Linked DNA regions of Sus scrofa. The protein of the gene in region 3 interacts with the protein of the main gene of each other region in a pairwise test. Links are inferred from orthologs where the notes say so. Each region holds a gene or a part of one and is shown on either strand. Other genes may lie near its edges.

Region 1 (4,061 bases), on a different chromosome or scaffold from region 3:
TTTCCATTAATGTGATCCAGGAAGTTGATAGAGTCTTTCACTACACAGTCACAGACATTGCAGTAATACCTAGAAAACAGAAAGAAACAGCACTCGGGTTGGTGGATTGTTGTAAGGATTTTGTCGCTTTTGACCAAGAAACATGTATTTTGAAATCAAAGTTCTTTTTAGAACAAAGAGGCCTCCACACCACAGCATGACAGAGCTAGGAAGCAGACCCTCTAGACCCACTTATACCTCAGATGAATGCAGACCTTTGAGGGCAACTTTGTGAGAAAGCCTGAGCCAGAACCACCTAAGTAAGTCCCAGATTCCTTACCCCCAGATATTGTGAGCTACCTGCTGTTTTACGCTGCTAAGTCTTGGGTTAATGTATTCATTTCTATAGCAGCAGATAACTAACACAAAGAGGAATGACAACAGCGGGTCTACTAAGCAGCTCAGAGAAGTGTCACACATTGCTATCTGTGTGATCCTCCTGCTGGAAAACCTAACTGGACAGAGAAGTAGTGGTGGGCCAAAGGAAGGAGAGTTCCTGTGGGAGCCTTCTTTCTAAAGCTTATAGTCTTGGTCTAATAGCAAGGTGCACAACCAGGAAATCCGTAACAACTACAACCTTTGCAGCTAGTTAGTCCACAACCTTAACCCCCTTTATCCACCATCAACAGCTCCTGGGCTTCATTCTAGCTTCACCTAATTCCTCCCCTAGACATCTCCTCAGTAGACCTTTCCTTCATGTCTTCCTCTGGCAGGAGAACAAACAATTCCCTTTAAGATATTAAGAAGTAGTTATAGTACTAATATAACAAAGCCTACAGAGTGACACCTCGTAGAGACACTATTATGTTAACTTGAGGCCTTGGAGAACAAAGCATGGAATGACAGAAAACAAGGTTATTATTCTGGGGCCAAGTATCCTGCTCAACACTTCCTGAAACCAACCTAGTTTTATGTGACTTACTCCTGGATGCAGAGATAAATGAAAAGCCACTTACCCTCCCATCTCAGACTGTGGGGTAGTCTTGGTAATGACAATTGTCTTCCCGAGCTTGGATTCCAGGTCCACCTTGTAATCTCTATGCCGGAGAAGCTCTCGCTTGACTGGCTGCACGGGCTTTCCTGGAATATAATGGGGAAGGAAGTCGCTTCATTATCAGAGATCCTTAGCCAGAAAGGAAAAGAAATGCATAAAATGCAAAATCCAGAAGTCTACCTTCATTTCTTTTTTGAAACCTGAAGCAAGGGACAAAAGAGTCCCTTCTAGCAGTAGCTACAGAGAATTTCAACACAGCAAAAATGATAAGCAATCCTTAACTCCCTACATCTTTTCTCCACTTTAAAGCCAACAAGTCTATGGCGTTCCCATCCTGGCTCAGCGGAAATGAATCTGACTAGTATCCATGAGGACGTAGGTTTGATCCCTGGCCTCAGTGGGTTAAGAATCCGGTGTTGCTGTGAGCTGTGGTGTAGGCCAGCAGCTATGGCTCGGACTCGACCCCTAGACTGGGAACCTTCATATGCTGCGAATGCTGCTAAAAAGACAAAAAAGAAAAGAAAAGCAAGACCACTCATTTAGTGTTTTCAGACAGATACCCCATGTGTAACACGGCAATCTTCTGAGAGCTGGGGAAGTTTTTTAAAGAAGAACTATTATCTAGGAAATATCTGCTATATGCCAAGTACTATTGCATGAGTTACATAAAAACCAAAAGTGCTGGAGTATGCAAGTAAAGCAAAAGAAAGTACAAGTCTGAAAACAGAAAAGAAAATAAGACCAACTCCCTGACAAAATGTAAGGCACAGAGAACAGCCGTAAGCACTAGATGAAACAATCAATCCCACGTTCCCCAGGTTAAGAATCCGGTGTTAAGAATCCCACGTTCAATAGCAGCAATACACAGCAGCAAAAACACTCCACTTAACTTCTTCTGAGGATCACTACTGAGGATTCCACTGTCTTCCCTGTACTTGAGGAAAGCACTAAATGAGCCAAGCAAAGGAAGGGCAAGGAAGCAGGGAACCGCAGAGCCGGAAAGCACCTCCAAACCATTTCAGTTCATCTCCTCACGCCTATCTTACTTTTCTACCTGAGGAGCCAGGGAGGCACTATTCTGCCGGAGGTTACACAGGAAAGGGGGCAGCGCGTTTCAACCCCCCACCGACTCGCTAACCATTGCTTCGCATCTGCAGTACACTTAGCACTTGATGGAACAGGCACCCACCATCCTTCTTTTCTCTCTCTTCTGTGAGCCTCTTCTCCGCAAGCTTCTCATATTCATCTTTGTCCCACTTTCGGCGAAAGTCCAAGTTTTTTGCCTGTGGGGGAAAAGGGGCTGAAGATTCGTCGCTAATCGTGTCCGACCCCTGGACAAACAGAAGAAACCGCTCCCCAGCCGCTAAGGCGGCCCCGGGACCTGGGAAGAGCGAAGCCTCTCCGGACAGCACCGGGAGGCTGAGGTTGCCTCAGGACCCCAACCCGAGACCTTCCCGCTTCCGATGACCCTGCGCCAGGGCCTTACGGGGGAGCTCTCAAACCAAGGCGGTTAGATCGCCAGGAGGTGTCGGGAAGCCAGGCGGGTGCGGGGTATTCAGCGCCGAAAAGCCGCCCCGCACCCCCCATCCCAAGCCTCCTCACACACAACACCTACCCCGCTACCCGACGCCATCTTCACAGCGAAGTGAATGGAAAGCCGGAAAATGCCGTAAAAAGCGGCCTTGCGCCGTAAGGCAAGCCCGCCCTCCAATAAGCTTAGAGTCTCGTGTTCTAAACGAGCTAAGGACTGGAGGATTTCTAAAACAAGATCGTCGGCCCCGCCCCTGCTCCAAGGAAATGGCGCATGCGCAAGGGGAGTATGAAGCAACGCGGAAGTAAGGGCGCCTGCGAGGGTTTTTCACCCTGGCTTTAAAAACAAGCACAGATTCAACCCTTCCATTTTACGTAAGAGGAAAATGAAGTTCAGATCAGCGCCCTCCGGTCTAGTCTAACCAACCTGCGTGCACTGCCAAGAGTTTCCAAACCTTCTTAAGGCTGAAGTTCTGTTATCAGGGGCTCTAGATGCCTCTTTACCTGTGTGCACTGAAGATAGGGCCCCAGAGCTCCTAAGAGTTTGCACAGGCTGTAGTCTTCCTAATGCACAAACTGAAAGCGCTGTTTGCATTTTGTCTCTTTATCTTGAAGCAATGCTATCACCCCTTGGTTAACTCATTTTTCCTTCAACTGAGAAACATCACAATTATTCAATCTACAGGGCACAATTTAATCAACACGATCGGACCTGGGAAGGCCAGTCATCAGCAACACTCTAGGGTGAAGAACTCTAGCAAATGTCACACTACACACTGACTTAGTGAGGTGACTGTATCTCACAGCTGCGGGGAGGAGGAAGCATGGCTGTTCCCTTCACCAAAAATAAAACATCACCCCAGGGACGTTCCTCTTAGCTCACTGCATCCTCCAGTGTGCACTCAAGCGTTTTCTATGGCCTATGCAAACAAATCCCTCGATAACAAATTACCCAAGCTTCTAGATTTAATATTTTATTTAATATATTATACAACCACTTCTAGAACAGCCACCTCCACGGCAGGACATGGACTAGTTAGAGCAGGCATAGGTAATGGTCTCCAAAGTCTCAAAAGATCAGATCTCCATCTTGTCAGGTCGCCTATTAAATTCAACATTCAAGATTATTAAACAGACGGCCTCACCCTGATTAACACTGGGTAGGCTAGAGAGACGTCATATTAATATGGGCACTGCTGGGCCCTTGGGCTAGCATCTCTGTCCTCAAACAAAACAGAGAGCAGTCATTGCCCCTTCTTGCTGTTTACCAAAAACTCCCTGGACAGGCCAAGACCACACAGTGGTCAAACTGCCCAGAATTTGGTTCAGAAGCGAAGAGTGGAAGGCTAAGACATGACTTCTGATCTCAGTGGTTCAGAATCGTCTCAACCTGAGGTGACTTTCCCAGAGACTTGTTCACAGCAACCATCTTATTAGCACATGTTGGCAGCGTTCAACGGCACTGCAAGTCTGCCATCTGCCTCTGCAGTTAGAGCAT
Region 2 (4,116 bases), on a different chromosome or scaffold from region 3:
CAGTGGGAACTCCCTGATCTGCCCATTTTAAAACTGGCAATTTCCATAAGCAGAAGGACCTGCTTGGGGTTATCCTTCCACCTGAGCTCTGGTAACAGACCAAGTTATTCATTTGTTTGTTTTTAAATGGTTGGATCAAAAAAAAAAAATCTTATAATGTGAATCCACATTTTAGTATGTCCATAAATACATGTTTATTGGAATACAGCTGTGCCCATTCATTACAGCTGTTTCGGAACTATCACAGCAGAGATGAGTAGTTTTCAATGAGAACCATTTGGCCCATAAAGCCTAAAATATTTACTACCCGATTCTGTAGAGAAAATGTTTGTTTGCCTACCTGCACAAGTAGATGAGGTTAAAAGCAAAGGAGAAAAATAAAGCAAGGCAGTGAGACAGAGTGGGGATGGGTAAGGTTGCAGTTTCCTACAGGGATCTTGGACGACTTCAGGATGAAGATGAAGGCTGTCATTGGAACCACAGAAGGGCTCCAGGTCGAGGCCTGGGGAAACTCTAGCAGCTCTTACCGAAGTACTCGAGCCAGTTCATCTCGCGCAGTGCCTTGGGGAGTCGCAGGATCTCGATGTTGTACAGGTTATCCATCTCCTTGAGGAGGTTCTGCCTGTCTGACTGAATTTGCTTGGATCGTATTTGCACTGCAAGAGGGCAGAGCGGACAAGACGTGGGTCACCAGTGGGCAAACGGGGCCTGGAATCCGTGCGGCCTGCGCCCCAACCCGCCAGCACCCCGCGATTGTCCCAGATGCCAGCGACCTCCCGGGCTCCGCCCCTTACCTTCACGGTCGAAGTCTTTAAGAAAGGAAGCGAGCTTTCGGCTCCGTAGCGAGTTGTTCTTGGCCACCCGACTGCCGCCTTTCCTAGCCGGAGCCATGGCACTTCGCTGGAGACTGCGGGGAGAGAGGGGCCAAGCCAAAGGGTGTCAGCGGCGGAGAAAGGGAGGGAAAGGGGGCCGCGAAGGAGCAGGAGAGGGCGGAGGACACCCCAGGGGGGTTGGAAGGGGACCCCTGCCCTTCCCGGCATGAGCATAAACGATTCGCGAGGCACTCACCTGTGGGCCCCGGTAATAGGGGCTGAGAAAACCCTGGCTGCTTCAGCTGAGAGGGAGCGGCTCCGGGACTAACCGGACGTGCGACCGCCGCCACCAAATTCAAACTGCCACAAGCTGACCAATGAGAAGCCGCCGTCTTAGAGGGTCCCACAACAGCCAATCGCAGGGACGCTCTGCGATCGGCCAGTCAATTCACACGCAGGACTACAGCACCCAGAAGTCATTGCAGTTTGACGGCATATTTTCGCGACTCTGTAGCCACGTTGGGGCATGCGCAAAGAGAGTCCCTAAGGCTCTTGAGGGCCTAGAGAGGTCCTCAGACTTTAACTGCCTTAGCTTTAACTTTTGCCGCTGGTTTAGGGAAGGCGAGCCGTAACTTCATGGAGAGGAGACAAGGTTCGGGTTCAGGAAACTCGAGACGGCCCGGGAAACCCACAGTCTGAAACAGAAAACTACCCGAAGCCGGATGAGCCTCCTGCGAGGAATAGTCAAGAAATCTTTCCCGAGGTGGGAAATAAGGGTCCTGCCTTCCGAGAGCCTGTGTAAAGGTAAGACAACCCCTCACTCTAGAAACTCCCGTCGGGAGGGATAGACAGCTACCTGAGGAAACCCTGGGTTAGCTGGACCTCACTTGAGAACGGAAATAACTCCTACCGACTTGGTACTTCCCCTACCGACTTGGGACTCTAGGGCTGTGTCTTTTTTTTTTTTTTCCTCCCACAGAAGATGACTCAAGTTGGGCCTTTGCTTGCCGTGCAGGAGGCCCTAAGGAAGTGCTTTCTCGTGGTGGAGGAGCAGCAAGGCCTGTGGCAGAGCGTTCTTAAGGACTGCCCGCCGCTCCTGGCCTCCCTCAGTAACCTGGCAGAGCAGCTGCAGGCCGCACAAAATCTGCGATTTGAAGATGTGCCGGCACTTCGGGCCTTCCCAGACTTACAGGAGCGGCTGAGACGCAAGCAGCTGGCGGCTGGTGACATTGTCCTGGACAAGCTAGAGGAGAGGCTGTAAGAGGTTTAGTGGCTCTGTTCTTGGTGGAAAGATTTTAAAGCTAGGTGTTTAGAAAACTAGGATCAGTTAGAAGGATGTTTTTCTCCTTACTTGAGAGCTTTGTATTTGGGGATGTGTCAACCTTACGTGCTTTTCATCTGTTGCAATGGGACCTCTGTCAAAAAGCCACTTTCTGACATTTCTTTTGTCAGGCTAGGGGTGGCAATGGTGGACTTCGTAAAAGTTACCAAAGCAGAACAGAAAAACAGTGGAGAAAGCTTATTAGCCCTCCTCTGTAAGTTTTTCTTTGGTAAAAAGCAGCAAAGAGCTGTACTATAAACTTAGTGGGTGCCAGAGCTGAGGGTTTTACGTCCATTATCCGTAAAATCTTTTCTGCACCTCTATGACTTAACCTCACTTAATCTCATTTTTCCGGTGAGGCAGCTGAGGCCCAAGCAGATTGCCTGTGGTCCTGCAATTAGTAAATGGTAAAGCTGGGATTCTCATCCAAGTGTATCTGACACCAAGGCCGGAGCTCTTAACCACTACTTTGTTCTGCTGTACATTGGTGTGTCTGTGCCAGGAGTGGTACCCCTCTAAGCTCTCGTTATGCCTAGTGTTAGACTCTCTGGCTTCGAGTTATAGGTAATTGAGGATAGAGGAGAGACAGGGAACTTATGGCCTTTCCTTGACCAGGACAAAAGAAGGTTCTAGTGTATAGAGTCTGTGCTGTTAACTAATAGGAGACTGTCAAAGATGAGTGCCTTCTTGGTATTCATTTGTTTAAAAAAAATTTTATTAACAGCCTATAGGAGAGTTCCTGTTGTGACTCAGTGGATTAAGGACCCAGTGTTGTCTCTGTGAGGATGTGAGTTCAATCCCTGGCCTCACTCGGGGGGTTAAGGATCCAGCATTGCTGTAAGATGCAGTGTCGGTCACAGATGCAGCTGGTGTTGCCATGGCTTTGGCATAGGCCTCAGCTGCAGCTTTGATTTGACCTCCGGCCCAGGAACTTCCACATGCCACAGGTGCGGCTGTAAAGAGAGAGAAAAAAAAAAAAAAAAAGTAAAGAAAAGAAACCTATGGGGAGTTCCCGTCGTGGCGCAGTGGTTAATGAATCCGACTAGGAACCATGGGGTTGCGGGTTCAGTCCCTGCCCTTGCTCAGTGGGTTAATGATCCGGCGTTGCCGTGAGCTGTGGTATAGGTTGCAGACGGCTCGGATCCGGCGTTGCTGTGGCTCTGGCGTAGGCTGGTGGCTACGGCTCCGATTAGACCCCTAGCCTGGGAATCTCCATATGCCGCGGAAGTGGCCCAAGAAATAGAAAAAAAAAAAAAAAAAGAAAGAAACCTATGGGATGCCAAGCACAGGGTGCTGGGTCTACAATAAACCAGACTTAAGTTCTTTGGTTGATTAAAAGAGATAGACAGTCAATTAAGTTTTGTCATGGTACATTCTAATATAGTGACCTTTTATTTCAATTGATTACATATTTGTATGTGGGTATGGACTGTTATTTTAAATCTTTTTTTTTTTTTTTTTTTTTTTGACCGCACCCACGGCATGAAAAAGTTCCTGGGCCAGGGATCAAACTCAAGCCATAGCAGTAACCAGAGCCACAGCAGAGACATCACTGAACCACCAGGAAACCCCTATTTTAAGTGTTTTTAAGTCGTGAGTCACAGTCAAACATTTTTGAAAGCTGCAGTTCTAGGCTAGGGAATGCCTTGCCCTTTGGGAAGTTGTAGCTTTCTTCTTGGTGGCTGGGCCCCTTGGAGTCACCAGTGGAATAATAACAAAATTTACTATAAGCCAGGCACTTCCCTAAGCACTTACATTACTGCATTTAATCTTCGCAGCAGTCTTTTTCATTCATTCATAGGACAAGTGTTTGTCGTTCTCTGTGCCAGTCCGGATATTCTAGGCGCTTATGATGAATAGTGAACAAAAGAGACTGTATTCATGATTGAGAATAAGTAGCTTTTCTAAGATCCCCAGTTGTCTGTGTGCATCAAGAGCCCAGACTTGGCCCATTTGCTGGGTTTGGGGTGAGAGGTGACATTA
Region 3 (3,500 bases):
TTTTTAATTTTAAAATAACATGAAACATACAAAACCCACAAAGGCACCCAAGGAGATGAGCTAATTTCAATGTCTGAAGAAGACTGAGGAGATGTGATCATGTCTATACAGTAACAGAAGTACCGCCACCACTTTAGAGTATATAAGTTAGCATCACCTGGGGAAAGATAACAAGCATGAGCCCTCGGGCCCAGCCAGATCTCTGAGGCAAAACCTCCAGCTGTATCTTAAATATCTGCATTTCCTACCAGGTCCCCAAATAACCTGATACACAACACCTTGACCTTTGAGAACCCCACTCCAGACTTTGGGTTCCATGACACACACAATCTCCTACGACAAACTACAAGAGATACCTGTCACCACAGTTCTCTGGCTACTTGGGACAGTGAGGGAGAACGCAGAGACTGCATGGACAGAACAGAGGCTAAAAGTCTAATGTTAAGTTCAAGGCTGAGGGCCCACTCCTGGTCACAGTGAGTGAGAGCAACCTTCCTATTCTCTAACCTGGTGACTGTACTTCTAGGAATCTATCATTTTAAAAAGTCTAAAACAGGAGTTCCCATCTTGGCGCAGCAGAAATGAATGTGACTAGGAACTATGAGGTTGCAGGTTCAATCCCTGGCCTCGCTCAATGGGTTAAGGGTCCAGCGTTGCTGTGAGCTGTGGTGTAGGTTGCAGACGCGGCTCGATCTGGTGTTGCTGTGGCTCTGGCGTAGGCCAGCTGTTACAGCTCCAATTAGATCCCTAGCCTGGGAACTTCCGTATGCCGTGGGTGCGGTCCTAAAAAGACAAAAGACCAAAACAAAAAACCCCACAAAGATAAGGCTAACCTGCTCTCAACAAAACCACAAAAGTTAAAGATGAAGCAACAGAATACCACGAACATCACTGAATTCACGGACAGCAAGCTGCAGAGCTGGAGTGCTGGATTTAGCACTGTAGTGTAGTGAAGAGCACCTGGCACAGGGTAGGAACAACAATGAGCCTAAATGGGAGTGCAGGAAATGGGCAGAGGCTACTGCCACGCAAGAAAGCAGGACACACAAGAAAGCCTGCCCAGAAGACCCACAGGAACCTTATGAGCAAGTGTTGGGTGACTGATGCTGCTGTGGTTAACTGTGTGTGTGTCTTGCAAGCCTCCATCCTGGACCAGGTGTCCATGGGCCCCCCATACCTTGACCTGAGAAATCTCTTTCTGGGGAGCAGAGAGCTTCTTGCTAATTCTGCCCTTGGCTTTTAACTCTTCCACTGTCTTGTAAGAGTATTTGGGCTTCTTCTTGCTTCCGCTGGGGTCTTTCCTCCACTGGCTCAGCTCCTTCTGAAATTCCTGAATCAAGAATATAACATAGTCCATCACAACAAGAAAGGGCCACTTTTTCCCGCAAGTGGGGACACTGAGGCTTTCAGAACACCATGCTAAGCACCGTCCCTCCATAACACTAAGACCATCCAAAGACACTGCTTGATGCCCACTCCCTGCCTTACAAATACTGAGGCTCAGACCCCTTCCCCACATAGCCAACCTACTTTCTTCTGAGTACTTCCTGGCACAACTGCTCTTTCTAACCACACCGTGGTTACTTTTTTACTGCTCCCTGTCCACCAGGCTCCACGCCTGGTCACGGCAGGACACCAGCCTTCAGCAGTGTCTGGCACCTGCTGTGCAAGCGACCTCTAAACACTGGCCGAGTGAACAAATGAGCAAACAACAGTCCCAAGAGGCAGAGACAGAATCCAGCCCATCTCCTGACTCACCTCCTCAGCTTCTTCCTCAGAGTCAACCACGGGGAAGTCCTGCAGGGACTGGGTGGTGCGCTCTGAGCCATACGCCCCCACCGCGCCTTTCCCCTTTCTCTGCTTGGCTTCAATTGGGTTAATGATACCTGGCAAGTTGCAGCAAAAGACAGACTTCAGATCACAGCAGTTCTTGTGAGTGAGCCACTCAGGGAGACCACACTCCTGGTCCTCACACACAGTAACATGCTACCCAGGAAGGAAACATGCTTCTGCCCTCACGACACCGTTTGGCTCCTGTGTGGCCAGAAGCTTCTGAGCGTGTGTGCTGCCACAAAACAGTGTGCTGATATTGTTTGTATCCTAAATACAGACTTCCATTTCTACTTGGACTTGTTGGTTTTTTTTTAGTGGACAGGAATATTTTATAACTGGGATCTCAGGCAAATTAGATTCTATACTCTGCTCATTTGGAAGCCCATTAATTCAGATATTATATTGATTCTGACTGAAGTAAGGTGAAGCTGCCATTTAATATGAAACTCCACCTATTTTACTTAGGAGTTCATATCTCCTATGAGCTATAACAAGTTTAAGCCTGGAAAATAAGTATTTTTCTTGTAAAAGTTTACAAACAGGACTGCATTTCAGTGAAGAACTGCCACACCCCAGACTTCCTACCAGGCCCCTTCCAGCTAGTACTGTTGAAATCCCAATTAGCACACTTCCCTCACTCCCATGCCATTGCCACTCAAGTCCATGGATTCTTCATACGGCTGATGTTTTCAACCCACAATCCATATCTAACTTTATAATACCTAGGGGCTGAATCTGAATTACAGAGAATACTACTGATGACATCCCACTGGTGAGTGTTGTAAAACAAAAGGCAACACCTGATGTTTTACTGATATTCCTGAAGGACAGGTAACTGGCTTTTTGCAAAACTAAAAAATAGTTACCTGTCCTGCCCCCGCATGAGCAAGAGTCCAAACTCATATGCCTTTAGGGTCCAGGAACATTAATATGAACAGGGAAAGTGGGCTGGAGTAAAAGGGGAGTGTGGAGGCAGCTTCCAGGAGAAGGCCTTGGGTGCTGACTGGGACAGCAAGGACTCAGCTAAACCAGTCACTGCCAGGCAACTCTAGAATGGAAGTGAAACTGTCTGCTTTTTAAATATTGGCAACCAGTTTGATTTTTTAGAAACACCGGGCAGGCTAGAAAGAAGCCTGTTCTCAGCCTGTCAGCCTGATTTAAACCCTAACCTCTCCCTCCTGCCGAAACAAGTATTTTATGTAACTTGAGTTCTGATAAAGCATGAAGCATAGAGCACAGCATCTGTGCTGGCAGAACAGGCTGCAGGGTCCCAGCCCTCCGAACAGTGAAAAAGCAGAAAAGAGGAGGCCACTGCCCTCCCTGCTCTTCCCACCTCTGCCTGACAGCAAGTGCAAGACTGTGGGGTGGGACTGCCACACCTTGTGCATTCTTCCCAAGGCCCCTTCCAGGGACATAGCCCATCTTCTGAAGCAGCTTCTGTCCAATTCCTTTTGTGTGTCTTTCCCAGCTGCCAAAATCCATGAACGACTTGGTTCCTCCTGCAAAACCTTTCTGACTGGGTTTAAAGTTACCACCCTGAAAAGGAGAAAAATCAAAGTTTAGTTAATAGAAAAAGAAGGAAAACGTAATAAAGCAAGCTTAGCTGATGGGAGCATGACCTGGCAGTCACAGAGCATTATGAAAAATATCTCACCAATCAAACCTAC
Region 4 (4,189 bases), on a different chromosome or scaffold from region 3:
GCTGTCTCCTTGTCCCCTGGTGAGAGTTTTACCCTCTGATTCATTTGTAGGAAATGCTAGTGATTAATATCATTCATCTGTGACTTGGATTCTCCTCAATTACTGAGGATTCACCAACACTGGTCTCCAGCTCAGACTCTCTCCCAATCTCCAGACTCCAGGTAACGGATGGCTCCATGCCCCAGCTGAGCTCCCCAACCTGGAAATCTCTCCGTCTGTGGCCCCCTTTCCACCCCCTGCCCCCTGCCCAGGCTTAGGCCTTCTTCCCTGAAAACTCACCAAATTCTACAGTTCTCTGGCCATGCCACATGGCTTCACGCCCCCGGGCCTTTGCACATGCTGTGTGCTCAGCTTGCAATGGCCTTCGCCTGACATTCTCCGCACCTGAGGCCTTCCTGCCTCCAACGAGCTTTCCTGATGCTGCAGCCCAGCTGTGTCCTCACTCCCATCTGACTCTGCCTCCTCATCCCTCAAGCCGTGGTGAAACTCCACTGTCCACTGCATCTCATGCTCAGATTGCAACACCAATCTCTGGCCCCAAGGTCCCCACCTCCAGGTCTCCTCTCCCTCTCCCAAGGAGCTCTCACAGCCTGGCCTCCACCTGTCTGCAGAGCTTGGATCCTCAAAGACTGGCCGAGATCTGGCCGCTGGACCTTGCACCTTCTGCATTGCTTCCTCGACTACAATCTCTCCCACCTCCTTCAATTAGCAAACTCCCAGGACTCAGGGCAGCACCTCCCCCAGGAAGCCCTCCATGACTGCCACCGGGCATAGCTAGGGCCTCTTCTGTGCTACCATCTTTGTATCTGGGTCTGCTTCACCAGCAGGGCAGCCACACTCTGACTCATCAAATACCATGGGAAGTTCACCAGAAATGTTTGCTGAAGGACAGAATCACTGTCCTTTCGTAGGTGTCCCTCCCCCTCTCCTCTGTCTTTTTTTTTTTTTTTTTTTTTTTCTTTTTTGTCTTTTGCCTTTTCTAGGGCTGCTCCTGCGGCCTATGGAGGTTCCCAGGCTAGGGGTCCAATCGGAGCTGTAGCCACCGGCCTACACCACAGCCACAGCAACGCGGGGTCCGAGCCGTGTCTGCGACCTACACCACAGCTCACGGCAATGCCGGATCCTTAACCCACGGAGCAAGGCCAGGGATGGAACCTGCCACCTCATGGTTCCTAGTCGGATTCATTAACCACTGCGCCACGACGGGAACTCCTCCTCCCGTCTTTTTTTGCACCCTGTCTCTGAAGGCAGGGGCTAGATCTAAGAGACCCCACCCCCAGCCCTAGGATCTCACCTTGGCTTGGGGCGCTCCTCTTCTGTTGGGGGGGGGGATACAAAGACACAATTAGCAAGAGTTTGTGGGCGTGGGAGGACGCGACACACCCAAAGGTGGGCCCTCCTCGCCCCCCCAAGACTTGGTCCCCAGGCCCAGTTCCCTTGTCCTGCAGCCCTGGGGGAGGGGTATGGCGGGGGTAAAAGAGGAGAAGGGAAATCGGGGTGGCCGTAAAGGGAGGGAGGGGTCACACGCATCAGATATACATTCAGAACCGGTGTGGGGATTCCCCCCCTCCACTCGCTTCGCTGGGAAACCAGGCTTCCAAACCCCCCACCCTCCTTCTGCAGACCCAGAGCTCCTGCCCTCCTCCCCAAGCCCTCTGTTCACTCGGGGACCCTGGAGTTGTGTCCCCAGCCACCTCCCCCTTGGGGACACAGGAATCCAGACCCCCACTGCTACCCCCTTCTGCAACCCAGGCCCCAACCTTTGAATGTATATGGGGGAGAAAAATAACAGGCGAAGATGAGAGGGGAGGAGGGGTGCCTCTCCGCAAACATCCAACCCTTCTATAAGTATTCCTCCAGTCTGGGGAAGAAGGCTTGGGTGTCGGTCCCTTTAAGAAGGAAGGGAACGGGTTAAAGCCGCTGCGAGGCTATTTCCCTTCGTGGCCACCAGAGGGCGCGCGGGCTCTCCGGGGCTTAAAGGACCGGGTCCGGGGCGGGTTATGGGGGCGGGGAGGGAGTTCTCGTGGAGGTCAGGGCCCAGAGGACACCCCGCAATTGGTCTCAGGAAGCGAAGCAGCCGCGGTTACCTCGCTCTGCCACCGGCTCTGGCTCCTCGGGGGCTGGGGAGGGGGCAGGAGGAGAAGCGAGGGTTTGGGGAGCCAGGGGAGGGGAGCGGCCAGGCCCGGATGCAGGGGGGGAGAGAGGGGAGAGAGGGGAGAGGCTGTTAAAGGAACTGAGGCCGAGAACCCCGAAAGCCCCGCGCCCCGCCCGGCCTGCACCCCTGGACCAGCGGGCCCCCCACCCACCCGCCTGTCCCCCACCCCCCCAGACCTGCGTCCAGCTCCAGACCTGCGGAGTCCGGGGCCTCACCTTCCTCCTCCTCAGCAGCCTCCTCTTCTGGAAGGGGTCGGGGAGAGAGAAGAGGGGTTAGGGGCCCAGGGGGACCCGGGGTGGAAGGGCTTTCAGAGAGGGGACCCAGTGGGTGAGGGGGCAGAGACCCAGGTTCGGGCTCGAGTCTCAGCTGGGCGGGGCGGGGGGGGGGACCCGTCAGCCTCAGCGGCCGCCGGGCACGATGGGCTTTTCCCTCCCAGGAGGATGGGCGTCGGGCCGGTCGGGCGGGGTGGGCCGAAGTGCACTCACCTTCAGGCTGCTCCCTGAGGACCCGGGCGGGGAGAAAAGAGGGAGGGGGAGAGTTAGGCGCCTCGGAGGCGGAGGGGGTCTCCCCCGCTCCGAGCCCCCAGCCCTCCCGCCAGCATCACTCACTCCTCATATTCCTGCTCTTCGGCGTCAGACATCCTGGCGTGACCTAGAGAGGCAGAGAACGGGGGTCCAAACGAGGGACTCGGGATCCCCGACCTGGGGTCCCGACGCCCGGGTCTGAGGGACGAGGGGCTGGGGGCTGGATCCTGGGTCTGACGGGGGGGGGGGGGGCTGGGGCTGGACCCCTGGGTCTGGAGGAGGAGGGGCTGGGGCAGGACTCCAGGGTCTGAGGGAGGAGGGGCTGGGACCTGGACCCCTGGGTCCAAGGGAGGAGGAGCTGGGGGCTGGATCCTGGGTCTGAGGCCGGGGGCCTGGGGCTGGACCCCCGGGTCTGAGGGAGGAGGAGCTGGGGGCTGGACCCCTGGGTCTGAGGGAGAAGGGGCTGGGGCAGGACCCCTGGGTCTGAGGGAGAAGGGGCTGGGGCAGGACCCCTGGGTCTGAGGGAGAAGGGGCTGGGACAGGACCCCTGGGTCTGGGGGAGGAGGAGCTGGGGGCCCTCAACTCCCAAAGATTCCTAAACCGCGGATGAAGACAGGGCTTGGGAAGGTATGGCCCCACCAACCCCAAAGCCACAGGCCCCACCCCCTCACCACAGCTGCCCTCTTTTGTCTTATGACAAGTCCTTTGGAACCTGATCTGAGGAGGGATTAGGGGAAGGTATTTGGGGAAGACACAGTGGCCTGAAGACAATAGCTGCCCCACCCCCAAGGGCTATTTTGGGGGGATGTCGTGGAGGGTGACACAGAGGACATCTAAAAAGTATTCTAGGAGGAGGGGTTCTGGGAGAATTCATCATACCCACTCCCCTCTGCCACCCTTGTCCCCTCCCCTTTGGCTGGTTATCAGTCACCTTCACCCACAGCTGTGGAGGGGACAGGACACACAAGAGCAGCTTCTGTCCCCAGACCTCATCCTGACCCCTAAATACTAAGACTCCCCCAAATCTGAGGTCCCCAAATCTTAATACCCACAGATCCCAATTTAGGAATTCTGAAGATGGCTAAGTCCTCATATCTCCGGATTCTGACACCCCAACTGTTGATACTCCAGATTATGGGCCTGGCCACCCTAAAACCTTGACCCCCTCAGTCTTGAATCCTTAAATTTGGGAACCTTAAGCTTATGAGACCCCAAAACCTGGATGCCCAGACTCAGGGGCCCGATTCCTGATACCCCAAAATATGACTCCACAAATTCTAATACCTCCAATCATAAGATTTCAGATCCTGAGACCTCAATTCCTAAACCTCCAGATTCTGAGGCACTGCCCGCACCCTGGTCCTGACACCCAGACTGTCTGCCAGCCGAGCCCAGAGGTTCCCAATTTCTTTTCTTACTCCTTCTTGAATTATTATTTAATTTTATTGGAATAGAGTTGATTTATGAAGATTCCCAATTTCTGACATACCCTCAGAGCACCGAGGTCTGA
Region 5 (3,145 bases), about 69 Mb from region 3:
ACGAGGTTTTATATGAAATTAATCCCTAACCCAACTCTAAAGCAAACCCTAATCTTGGCCAAACCTGATTTCTAGGACAACCACAAACCTTAACTGAAAGCATCCAACACTAAGAAAACCATACTCTTAATTCAGGCCTAACCTGAACTCAACTCCTGACCCAGCTTTTCTCTAAATCTAAACCTAATCCTATGGGCACTGTGCTTCCACATCAGCACTAATCCCACCCCTGAGCCAGCCTCGGGTGGGGTACAGAGGGCATGTATGTGGAGAGAGATGTAAAATTTTGTACATTTTAAAAAAGTGTGGAGAGTAAGGGTCCATGGCTTTCCTTAGGTTCTCAAAGAACTTTGTGAATCAAAAGAATGTTAGGAACCTCTGCCCTGATCCACCCTAACCTAGCCCAGTTCAAATCCCAATACCCTCAAGGAGTTGGTTTTTTGTTGTTTTTTGTTTTTTTTTTTTGTCTTTCTAGGGCTGCACCCATGGCACATGGAGGTTCCCAGGCTAGGGATCAAATTGGAGCTATAGCTGCTGGCCTACACCATTGCCATAGCAACACAGGGTCCAAACTGCATCTGCAACCTATACCACAGCTCATGGCAACGCCGGTTCCTTAACCCACTGAGCAAGGTCAGGGATCGAACCCGCATCCTCATGGTTCCTCGTTGGGTTCATTAACCACTGAGCCACGACAGGAACTCCCCCTCAAGGAGTTGTGACGATAATCCATCTTTAATCTAGCCCTAACGTTAACCTAGTCCTAACACCATTCTAGTGCCTAAGCCAGTGCTAACTCTGCCTAACATTGAGAACCCTGGCACAGACAGCCGGTGTTGCACCCTTCCCTACTAAAGCCCCCCCACCCCTCTGAACTTGCTCTTTCCCCACTCCTCCCAAGCGCCGGTGGCCGGTGGCCCACAGCTTCCTCTGCCCGCTGGGCTGCCCTGTTGAGGGATCAAGAGTTCTTGGTTTCAGGCCAGGCCCTGACCTTAGAGTAGGGCCTGGCTGTGCTCACTGCCTGGGACATCTGCTTACTGTCTGCTCGATCTCTGAAGCCTCCTCCCTGGGCATGCGGTCCAGGAAGTCATGGTAATGCTTCAGACCAATGGCCTGCTGGGTAGTCAGAGAGGCTTGGTTTCGGATATCTTCTAGGCTCCGGAAACCCTGAAAAAAGGAAGCCAGATGGGAAGGCTATGAGGATCCAGGACCAATGAGGAGGCAGTGTGTGCGCGCGCGCGTGTGCACACACACACACGAGGCTTCTATCACCCCCAGACTCTAAGAAAGGCCTGAAGCAGGACCAACCCAGGAGCTGGGTCTGTCATCAGTGGGACTTGGGAAAGGCAGGCGGCAGAGAAGACACACCCCAATCCAGCCAGGCCACAATCCTAAAACTGGCTCATGATTCCAGTGGGCTGGGGGTGATTCTGGGCATGGCTGGGTTTGGGAACCACTGATCTGGATACTCAGCCCTAAGGCCTGGTCTCCTCAGGAGAAACACACTTCTTGTCTCTGGCTACACTACAGATGAAGCCTCAAGGATAACAAGCAACAGGGCGGTTCTTGGAGCCAAGAGAGGGATCAGCATGAGCCCTGGCCCCTTTGAAAAGTGGTTTCCCTACAGTCCGGGTTCATTCTCATCAGAGCATAAGGGTAAGATAAGATATAGCGAAACTGAAGTGGGGGCTGGGACAGCATTTGACCTGATGGTACCACAGCTGGGCAGTCTTGGTTCCAGCTCCCCAGATGTTGGAGAAGAGCTGTAAGACAGGCACGCTTTCGCTGATGTGGTCGAGCTTCCTCAGGTGCCCACTCTCCAGAATCTCTAGGATCTTCTCAGCCATCCGCTTTCCAATCCCGGGTATAGCGCAGGCCTCCTAGAGGAAGAGGAGGCAGAGGCAGGAAGGAAGAGTGAGCAGATGGGCGGGTAGAGCCAGTGGGGGAAGCTGACTGCTTTAGCAGGTGTCCTGGATGGCTGGTAACAGGTAGCTGTGTAAAGCTTGGGTGCAGGTGAAGATAAAAAGTTTGGGCGGAGTGGGCTGGACTTGTCTGCTGGTTCCCAAAGGAACAGAGGTTAGCAGAGGCAGCAGAGGAAAGGCGGTAATGAGGGACCGAGTCACCATCACCATGGCAACAGTGGAGAGGACATTTACTGACACTTTACCCTGTATCAGAACCTGCACTACAGGGGTCATCTCATGGAGTCCTCATGGGAACAGGTGTTTCTACTATTCTTAGTCCCTTTTTACTGAGAAAACTGATGCTCAGAGGGTTTAAGTAACTTGTCTAGGAGTTCCCGTCATGGCTCAGTGGTTAACGAATCCGACTAGGAACCATGAGGTTGCACATTCAATCCCTGCCCTTGCTCAGTGGGTTGAGATTCTGGCATTGCCGTGAGCTGTGGTGTAGGCCGCAAACGCGGCTCTGAATTGGCCAGAGGCTACAGCTCCAATTCAACCCCTAGCCTGGGAACCTCCAAATGCCATGGGAGTGGCCCAAGAAAATGGCAAAAAAAAGGCAAAAAAAAAAAGAGTAACTTGTCTAAAGTCACATAGTTAGTGATTGATGGGAACCAGAATTCAAACTCTGGTGTGTTGGCCTCCAGAGTCTAAACTTTTAAAAAACTTTTTATTATGGAAAAAAATTCCAAAGTAGAGAGACTAGTATAATGGACCCCAAGTTCCCATCACCCAGCTTCTATAATTACCAAGATTTTGCCAATCTGCTTTCATTAAAATTCCTACTTTTTTCCTTTGTGCAAGTCTCAGAATCATAAAATCTTAACCACTCTACCTGATCCCTACTTGTGACTGGTGTCTCCACCAATCTCTGACCAGTAAAGAGAAGGACCCCTCCCCACCGCCCCACATAACCTTCCCTGGCCCCCAGGTACCTGGTAGGAGGTGACAGGCTTGTGGAAGCTCTTGAGGGCATTGATGGCTTTAGCATAGCCCAGGGCCCTCCACTTGTCTCCCTGAACACTGTAGGCTTTGGCCAGCACTTCCAGCTTCTCTGTGATGTGGGGGTTGTGGTTGGTCGCCTTCTGACTTGAAGGCTGTGCACAGACCCACTTATCCAGGCCCTTGGGGGCTGGGCTAGGCTCTCCATCTTCCTCAAGGGGGGTGGGGTAGCGGCCGCTGAT
Region 6 (3,500 bases), on a different chromosome or scaffold from region 3:
AGTGCTGAGGGCAGGGACTCTCCGCTGCCAGCGAGCTGGGACTCTGAGGCCAGATCTCTGCAGGCCCCAGCGAGGGACAGGGCGCTGCTCTTACCGCGGTGCTGTTTGGGCAGCTTCTGGACGGCAGAGTCTCTCCGGGCGCCCGAGGGAGGATGCCGCTGGGCTGGAAAGACCTCGGCGCTGGTCCCGGACACCTGGGAAGCAAGTGGGGGAGGCTGAAAGCCTAGGCAGGGCCTCCGGGACAGGATTCTGCATGTGACTGCAGAAAGCTGACCCAGCGACCAAGCGCTGGGTCCAGAACACCAAAGGACCCCCTCGCAGCTCTGAGCTGGTCCCCGCCCTGCCTCCCCTGTCCTGGAGGGTGGGAATGGGCAGCGGGGGGCTGGGTTGGCCGCTCTCTCTCTCTCTCTCTCTCTCTCTCTCTCTCTCTCTCTCTCGACCCCCCTCTACCTTAGCCGCTCTCAGCCGCTGGCGTGGCCCGTGGCAAGAGCTGGTCAGAGGGGGCCGGAGGGCCCGGGATCAGGCCTGCCTTTTCTGGGTCTCGGTCTCCTGTCCAGTGCGGAGCTGGGAGGAGATGACCTCCAAAGTGCCCTCCGCCCTCCAGAGATGGCTCCCTCCTCTCAGAAAGGGCTGGAACAGTGCCGAGCTTTTGTGTGAAGAGCAGGGAAAGGGAGCAGCCGGGGGAGGGTGTGGGAGGAGCTGGCACGGTTTTACTCTGCTCTTTGGTCATTTTCTTCCTATGAACTCGACAATTCTGTTTGTAACATACATACATATGTATATTTTTTGTTTGTTTGTTTTGTCTTGTTTTGTCTTTTTAGGGCCGCACCCGCAGCATATGGAGGTCCCCAGGCTAGGGGTCTAATCAGAGCTACAGCTGCCGGCCGACACCACAGCCACAGCAACACCGATCCGAGCCACATCTGCGACTTACACCACAGCTCACGGCAACGCTGGATCCTTAACCCACTGATCGAGGCCAGGGATTGACCCGAAACCTCATGGTTCCTAGTTGGATTCGTTTCCGCCGCGCCACGACAAAGGCTAAGTAAGAAATGCCTGTGGCAACTAACTTTGAAGACTAACTCAATCTCAAGAAACCTTAAACGACAGCAGTTCCCATTGTGACTCAGTGAGTTAAGGACTTGGTGTTGTCTCTGTGAGGCTGTGAGAAAAAAGAAAAAAAGAAACCTTAAATGCCTGATCGGCCCAGGAGGAGTTCTTTAGGTAACTGTGATTTCTGTTGTTTTTCTCCCTAAAATTATTTTTTCAACAAAGCATTCTGAAACCTTCCTGCCTTAGAAAGTGCACAGTTGGTTTTATTTTACAGTTTTGGAGAGCAGAGGCACTGGTTAAGAGGGCCTGACGGGCACCTGCTCTGGGTGCAGCGCAATACGAGGCACCTCCAGCGATCTGGGACCCCGCCCTGCCGTCTGTGTGCTCCCAGCATGGAGAGGAGGACACCGATGGTTTGCTGGCTGAGCTCATTTCAGCATACCCTGATTTTTGCCAACACGGCTCCTCTTCAGGCCAGACTGTTGGGCCCTCTAAGAGTCACACAATCTTAGAAGATTTATAACCTCATAAGGACCGCAGAGAGCAGAGGTGGCCTGGAGAAGCATAGGAAGCTGGGGCTTTCTGGACCAGATGTGGCTTTAAATGAATGAATTTAGTAGAATTGATATATGGCCCACGCCAAAGCGAGACGGTGGTGGTGCAACAGCCTTACAGAGAAATGGAGAGGAGGAGTGTGTGTGTGTGTGGGGGGGGTGGTTGTGTGTGTGTGTGTTCGTGTGTGGGGGTGGTTGTATCTGTGATTGTGTGTGAGTGTGGTTGTGTGCATGTGTTTCCAGGGAGCAGCAAGAAGACGGGCCTGTGTACCTGGCCCACAGTAAGACCTGTGGAACAATGGCTGATTGAATGCACTAGATTTGTTGAGACAGACTAGACTTGAACTGATACTAGGAATTAGCAATGGGGTTGTTTAAAAAATTTTTCTTCTCCTGGAGTTCCCGTCACGGTTCAGTAGTAAACGAATCCGACTAGGAACCATGAGGTTGCGGGTTCGATCCCTGGCCTTGCTCAGTGGGTTAAGGATCCGGCATTGCCGTGAGCTGTGGTGTAGGTCACAGACATGGCTCGGATCCCTGGTTGCTGCGGCTGTGGTGTAGGCCGGCGGCTGCAGCTCCAATTTGACCCCTAGCCTAGGTACCTCCATATGCCGCGGAAGTGGCCTAAAAAATGGCAAAATGACCAAAAAAAAAAAAAAAAAATTTTTTTTTCTTCTCCTAAAAAAGCAAGTTTAAAACAAAACAAAAACAAACAAACATTCAACCAAAAAAACCCAACCACAGAAATATCTGAATAAGTGCCTAAGGGAGACTTACTTATGACTGAGGAAGAAGGGACTCAATTTAAATCACTTTTTAGTGACCTGGAGCCCACCCACTGCCTCAGTAGCCCACCCTACCCCCTCCAGAGCAGTATGTCCATCGACACGGCCCACCTGCTGTCCAGGGGAAGAGATCCTGTTGGCCCAAGGCCAGGGCTCCTTGAGGTCAGGTGCCTGTCCTGCCCTGGAGGAACCTGGCTGCCTGGTCTGCGAGCGCTCTGCCTGGCCTTTCTCCTCCACCTCCAGGTGCCTCAGTCTGAAAAACTGCTGCTGTCGTGCTTTCTGGAACTGCTCCCTCTGCTGGGTCCTCAGCGCCTTCCCCACCTGGCGGCAAGTGGTCACGTTGGGGCGGCGGCGGCGGCTCTCACGGGTCTCCTGCCGGCGCTCGCACTTGGCCTCGTAGCTCTCAGCCCACCGGGCCAAGCCAGGGGCAGGCCTGGGGTCTGGGCTGAGCATGATGACCTCCTGAGCACCTGTTGTGTTGGCTTCCCGTTCCTGGAATAGCTGCGCGGGTCTGCCAAGGGCCAAGAGGGAGGCAAAGGGGAGGGGTCAGGAGATGGGCAGAAAAATGACCATCTCCCTGGACGAGGGGGCAGAAATAGCACAGCGTCCCGTATGTGGGGGCTGACAACTGAGGAGGAGATGACGTCACACTGGGACTCATGACTCCTGGGTCCTGACTCTGGACTGATTTCTGCTCTTCTCTGGCTGTGTTTCTCCTACAAAGTGGCAAGAGCCCTCTGGCTGCCATGTCTTCCTTGACCAAACTTCTCACGCTTCTTTTAGTTAGGGGAACATGAAAAATCATGGATAAAAATCACTAAAAGCTTATAGCCTCTCGGATAGCCGATTGGGGTGTGTTCCTTTTACAAGGACTTCTAGAGAATCAGTTCACTAGGCTCCCTGTTCCCCCGTCTGAAAGGAAAGCCAGCATTTTTACTGCTCTCTTGGCTCACCTGTACTGAAATAGGCGGGTGACTTTTCTCGAGGCCTAGAGGAATAACCACACCCTGCAAGGTGTAACTGGTCCTATGACCTGCACCCACTGGCCTCTGCTTAGCCCTTAGCAGGTAGCCTGGTCCTGGGCGTGGTCCTGAGCGTGGTGTAA
Region 7 (3,500 bases), on a different chromosome or scaffold from region 3:
TGGGATATTTCAGAAGAAAAACACAAGTCTTGGTTCCTGAACGATGCTGGAAATGACAGAGCAGTCCCAAATGACTTAAAAGTAATTTAGTTTCGAGGATCTGGTAGATGATGACGTTTAATAAACAACAAAAGAAGGCATGTTTTGAAGAGGTTAAAAACAGGAAGGGGGAAATATATTCTCCTCTAATTTTACGTCTTTTTTTATTTTTATTTTTTTTGTTGCCATTTCTTGGGCCGCTCCTGCAGCATATGGAGGTTCCCAGGCTAGGGGTTGAATTGGAGCTGTAGCTGCCGGCCTACACCACAGCCACAGCAACGCAGGATCCGAGCCGCATCTGCGACCTACACCACAGCTCACGACAATGCCGGATCCTTAACCCACTAAGCAAGGCCAGGGATCGAACCGGCAACCCCATGATTCCTAGTCGGATTTGTTAACCACTGAGCCACGACTGGAACTCCTCTCCTCTAATTTTAAATGGAAGACACAATTAAGAGGTTTTATCAGTGAGCAAACACATGCAAAACCCACATCTATTTTGTTAGGCTCTATTACCTCTGCTGTTGCTTTCCGGATAGGCAAATGTAGGCTTATTTGGGGAGCGTCGTAGATCACTGTTAAGGAAAGGCTTATCGGGTGGATATACTACATATGGAGATGAGGAATGGCGAACCATACTTCCACTAGATTTGATGGTTCTGCTAAGATGTTCTGAAAAATAAAAATACAGAAATTATCTTTTCAAAAATTTAAACCACAAATAGCATGTTCATGACTAAGAATTGGACTGTCCTATGTTCCACTGATAGTGACAACAGAAAAAATAGAATCCAATGACCATACACAACAGAATCAATCACTACTTAAAAATAATAAAGCTTTTAAAGTGTTATAAGTCTAAATACAACCATATGCCAAACACCATAAATAGGAAATAATATTCACACAACTTGAACACATGTTGCACAGATACTTAAATATAGTACTCACAAAGGACTTAATATAGTTTCTTTAAAAAATATGTACTTTAAGATATAAATTTGGAAAAGAAAATATTTTTTATAGTATCAAAAACTGGTACAAAGCAACTGAATTAATCTATCCCCAATCAACTAAATACTTTCTGAAAATCTATATACTTTCTGTAAATCTATCAAAGTCCAAAACTCTGTGATAAACGGAAAGAAAATAAGGCAGAACACTGTCTCAAAGATTTTACATTCAGTTGGGGAAAAGAAGAGGGAAGCCATTAGAAACATTGAAGTTTATCAAACATCTAAACATAAAACTCTATTTCCACACATACACCAGTGTGTCATTTGTCATTCTCTTCAATTTGGGATTATGTTCCACATGACAATTTCGAGTGCAGGGGATGCTAACTGGGGAGTTTTGTTTGTTATAGGTGACTTCTTATTGGTAGAAAGAGGTTGAGTGGGAAAAGCTCAGATGGAAGATAGGGCTGCTAGCTGCTCAAAACTCTCAGACATCCATTCTTATTCAAATAGCCACAGGAAACTAGGTTCTCAACTCTTACCTTTGGCTAACTATGACTATAAAGCACAATAATCTATGTCCAAAAGTACAAAGGAACAATGAATATTTACAATACAGTAAATGGCCTCCTGGAATAAACAAAGGTCATCAAAATAACTGTACTGTATCTGAATCTTATTAAAAACTGGAGATTGTACTGCCATCTTAAAATTCACGCAATTTTCCAGTTGACTTAAGAAAACAAATTGAAAAACAAAACAACACACTATGGCTGTGGAAACTTAAGAAAGCAAATTGAAAAACAAAACAACACACTATGGCTGTGGAAACTAAGACAGCAAAGACCTTGGAAGGGGTAGTAAAATCTCAAAGTGGTACTTAATGCTACTCTACTGTGAAAGGGTGGTCACAAGCAACAACAACTAAGAGTTGGCATTTTTTTAAACTTTTGGGCAAAATGACATCAAGTTTTGGAGGCGGCTGGAAAACAGGGTGTTTTCAATTCTTAAAATACATAATACTGCCAAGGCTCTTGCAAAATACCATGAATAATCACATAGCTTAACTTTAAATACCATTTTCACAGAGAACCTTATGCCTCCATACAACCTACTAGAATCCTATCATTTATAACAACTACTATTCAAAGAACAATGGTTAGGAAACATTTAACATATAATGAAGATAAACCATGAGCAAATTCACTTATGACTTTCTTTTCCTAATTAATTTACTTTTTTTCTTTTTTGGCTTCACCCATAGCACATGGAAGTTCCTGGGCCAGGGATCGACTCCAAGCCACAACTGGGGCAATGCTAGATCTTTAACCCACTGCACCACAGAGGAATGCTGTCACTTTATGATTTTCAAAACAAATTTTATTAGTATTACCAAATACTGCACAAATATTAACAGAAGAACTGTGCATAAATAATCTGCCAAAAACCAAACCAAAACAAAATGAGAACAAACCACTTTTGTTAAATTCACTGCCTCCTGGCTCTTGTAAAATTTTTTAACAGTTCAAGATTTGCCCTTCAACTTGTCACACATATTTCATCAAAATCCTGCTCGATTTGGCTTCCTAGCAAATAACAAATTGCACAAATGTCATAGGAAGGCAGTGAAGAAAATGTAAATATTGACTTGAGACTGCTATCCTTAGAAAGGTCTGCCAGCAAGGTTGGTTCCAGGCAGGTTATCTCAGAACTTGAATTTTGGGAAGGTTCCGAATACTGTCATCATAAGAGCCAGGGGTCACCAAGACCAGCCCTGGACTCAGTGATTTGCTAGAAAAACTGGCAACCTCGACATAGAGTTATACTTATGGCTACTATCTATTACAGCAAGGGATACAGAGCAAAATCAGAGAGAGGAAAAACTGTAAAAGATCAGGCACTTCCACAATTCCTTTCCAGGTGGAGTCATACAGGAGGATGTGCTTAATTCCTCCAGCAACCTAACAGTGACAGGTCTGTCAATGGCATCTACCAACGAAGCTCACGAGACTCAGTGGTCAAGGTTTTTATTGGAGGCTGGTCATATTCCTGACTCCGAGAAGGAAGGCAGGTGTTCAACATTGTTTGTATAAACAGTTTTAAGTGCAGTGAACCACTCTTTTATCACTTACTGTTAAAGTTCTATATCAGTATAGGAAAATATCACTCAAGTTCACAGATGCCAACCAAGAGCTAACTTTGTAAACATCTCTTTCTAAAAGTAGCAGTCATCTGAGATTATGGAAGAGTTCAAGAGAATTCTTGCCTTCAATGCTATATGCCATCCAATCATGGTACTTGAGAACTATGGTAGGACAAAGGATACTTTAAGCAGAACGTTTATGCTCTCTCCTCTCATATGAGTATTAAAAACAACAATCCATAAACTCAAACTCCCAAAAGACTTTACAATCTACACTTTCATCAGCTGGGTTGATCCTCATGACAATCCTGACAGGTAACTGACAAGTGAGAAAGTATCTCCATTTTATAGCTCAGGAA

What was found.
Region 1: the proteins of TFIP11 (region 3) and ZMAT2 interact in binary tests that used the Homo sapiens proteins (3 or more experiments, as listed by UniProt). The two-hybrid records come from large-scale screens. The link is inferred for Sus scrofa from reciprocal best matches to the Homo sapiens genes TFIP11 and ZMAT2.
Region 2: the proteins of TFIP11 (region 3) and C6H1orf109 interact in binary tests that used the Homo sapiens proteins (3 or more experiments, as listed by UniProt). The two-hybrid records come from large-scale screens. The link is inferred for Sus scrofa from reciprocal best matches to the Homo sapiens genes TFIP11 and AIRIM.
Region 4: the proteins of TFIP11 (region 3) and TNNT1 interact in binary tests that used the Homo sapiens proteins (3 or more experiments, as listed by UniProt). The two-hybrid records come from large-scale screens. The link is inferred for Sus scrofa from reciprocal best matches to the Homo sapiens genes TFIP11 and TNNT1.
Region 5: the proteins of TFIP11 (region 3) and POLL interact in binary tests that used the Homo sapiens proteins (3 or more experiments, as listed by UniProt). The two-hybrid records come from large-scale screens. The link is inferred for Sus scrofa from reciprocal best matches to the Homo sapiens genes TFIP11 and POLL.
Region 6: the proteins of TFIP11 (region 3) and TRAF3IP3 interact in binary tests that used the Homo sapiens proteins (3 or more experiments, as listed by UniProt). The two-hybrid records come from large-scale screens. The link is inferred for Sus scrofa from reciprocal best matches to the Homo sapiens genes TFIP11 and TRAF3IP3.
Region 7: the proteins of TFIP11 (region 3) and CEP57 interact in binary tests that used the Homo sapiens proteins (3 or more experiments, as listed by UniProt). The two-hybrid records come from large-scale screens. The link is inferred for Sus scrofa from reciprocal best matches to the Homo sapiens genes TFIP11 and CEP57.

Annotation. Positions count from the first base shown.
Region 1 is NC_010444.4:142,409,709-142,413,769, reverse strand, and holds the start of ZMAT2 (zinc finger matrin-type protein 2), read right to left. Parts: upstream 2,801-4,061; 5' UTR 2,667-2,800; coding exon 2,649-2,666; intron 2,317-2,648; coding exon 2,223-2,316; intron 1,120-2,222; coding exon 996-1,119; intron 70-995; coding exon 1-69. UniProt on the Homo sapiens protein: Involved in pre-mRNA splicing as a component of the spliceosome.
Region 2 is NC_010448.4:93,747,797-93,751,912, reverse strand, and holds the start of C6H1orf109 (uncharacterized protein C1orf109 homolog), read left to right. Parts: upstream 1-1,316; 5' UTR 1,317-1,616; intron 1,617-1,791; 5' UTR 1,792-1,794; coding exon 1,795-2,069; intron 2,070-4,116. Other genes in the region: CDCA8 (borealin), read right to left, coding at 528-656, 795-891. UniProt on the Homo sapiens protein: Part of the 55LCC heterohexameric ATPase complex which is chromatin-associated and promotes replisome proteostasis to maintain replication fork progression and genome stability.
Region 3 is NC_010456.5:44,102,709-44,106,208, forward strand, and holds part of TFIP11 (tuftelin-interacting protein 11), read right to left. Parts: intron 3,370-3,500; coding exon 3,213-3,369; intron 1,887-3,212; coding exon 1,759-1,886; intron 1,331-1,758; coding exon 1,178-1,330; intron 1-1,177. UniProt on the Homo sapiens protein: Involved in pre-mRNA splicing, specifically in spliceosome disassembly during late-stage splicing events. Intron turnover seems to proceed through reactions in two lariat-intron associated complexes termed Intron Large (IL) and Intron Small (IS).
Region 4 is NC_010448.4:59,360,811-59,364,999, forward strand, and holds the start of TNNT1 (troponin T, slow skeletal muscle), read right to left. Parts: upstream 2,801-4,189; 5' UTR 2,796-2,800; coding exon 2,764-2,795; intron 2,655-2,763; coding exon 2,641-2,654; intron 2,398-2,640; coding exon 2,371-2,397; coding exon of another isoform or gene 2,326-2,370; exon of another isoform or gene 2,121-2,325; coding exon 2,088-2,120; exon of another isoform or gene 1,531-2,087; coding exon of another isoform or gene 1,317-1,530; coding exon 1,295-1,316; intron 1-1,294. UniProt on the Homo sapiens protein: Troponin T is the tropomyosin-binding subunit of troponin, the thin filament regulatory complex which confers calcium-sensitivity to striated muscle actomyosin ATPase activity.
Region 5 is NC_010456.5:112,611,204-112,614,348, forward strand, and holds part of POLL (DNA polymerase lambda), read right to left. Parts: coding exon 2,897-3,145; intron 1,881-2,896; coding exon 1,707-1,880; intron 1,168-1,706; coding exon 1,039-1,167; intron 1-1,038.
Region 6 is NC_010451.4:133,207,709-133,211,208, forward strand, and holds part of TRAF3IP3 (TRAF3-interacting JNK-activating modulator), read right to left. Parts: intron 2,907-3,500; 5' UTR 2,849-2,906; coding exon 2,507-2,848; intron 608-2,506; exon of another isoform or gene 451-607; intron 195-450; coding exon 95-194; intron 1-94. UniProt on the Homo sapiens protein: Adapter protein that plays essential roles in both innate and adaptive immunity. Plays a crucial role in the regulation of thymocyte development.
Region 7 is NC_010451.4:27,819,570-27,823,069, reverse strand, and holds part of CEP57 (centrosomal protein of 57 kDa), read right to left. Parts: intron 715-3,500; coding exon 559-714; intron 1-558. UniProt on the Homo sapiens protein: Centrosomal protein which may be required for microtubule attachment to centrosomes. May act by forming ring-like structures around microtubules. Mediates nuclear translocation and mitogenic activity of the internalized growth factor FGF2, but that of FGF1.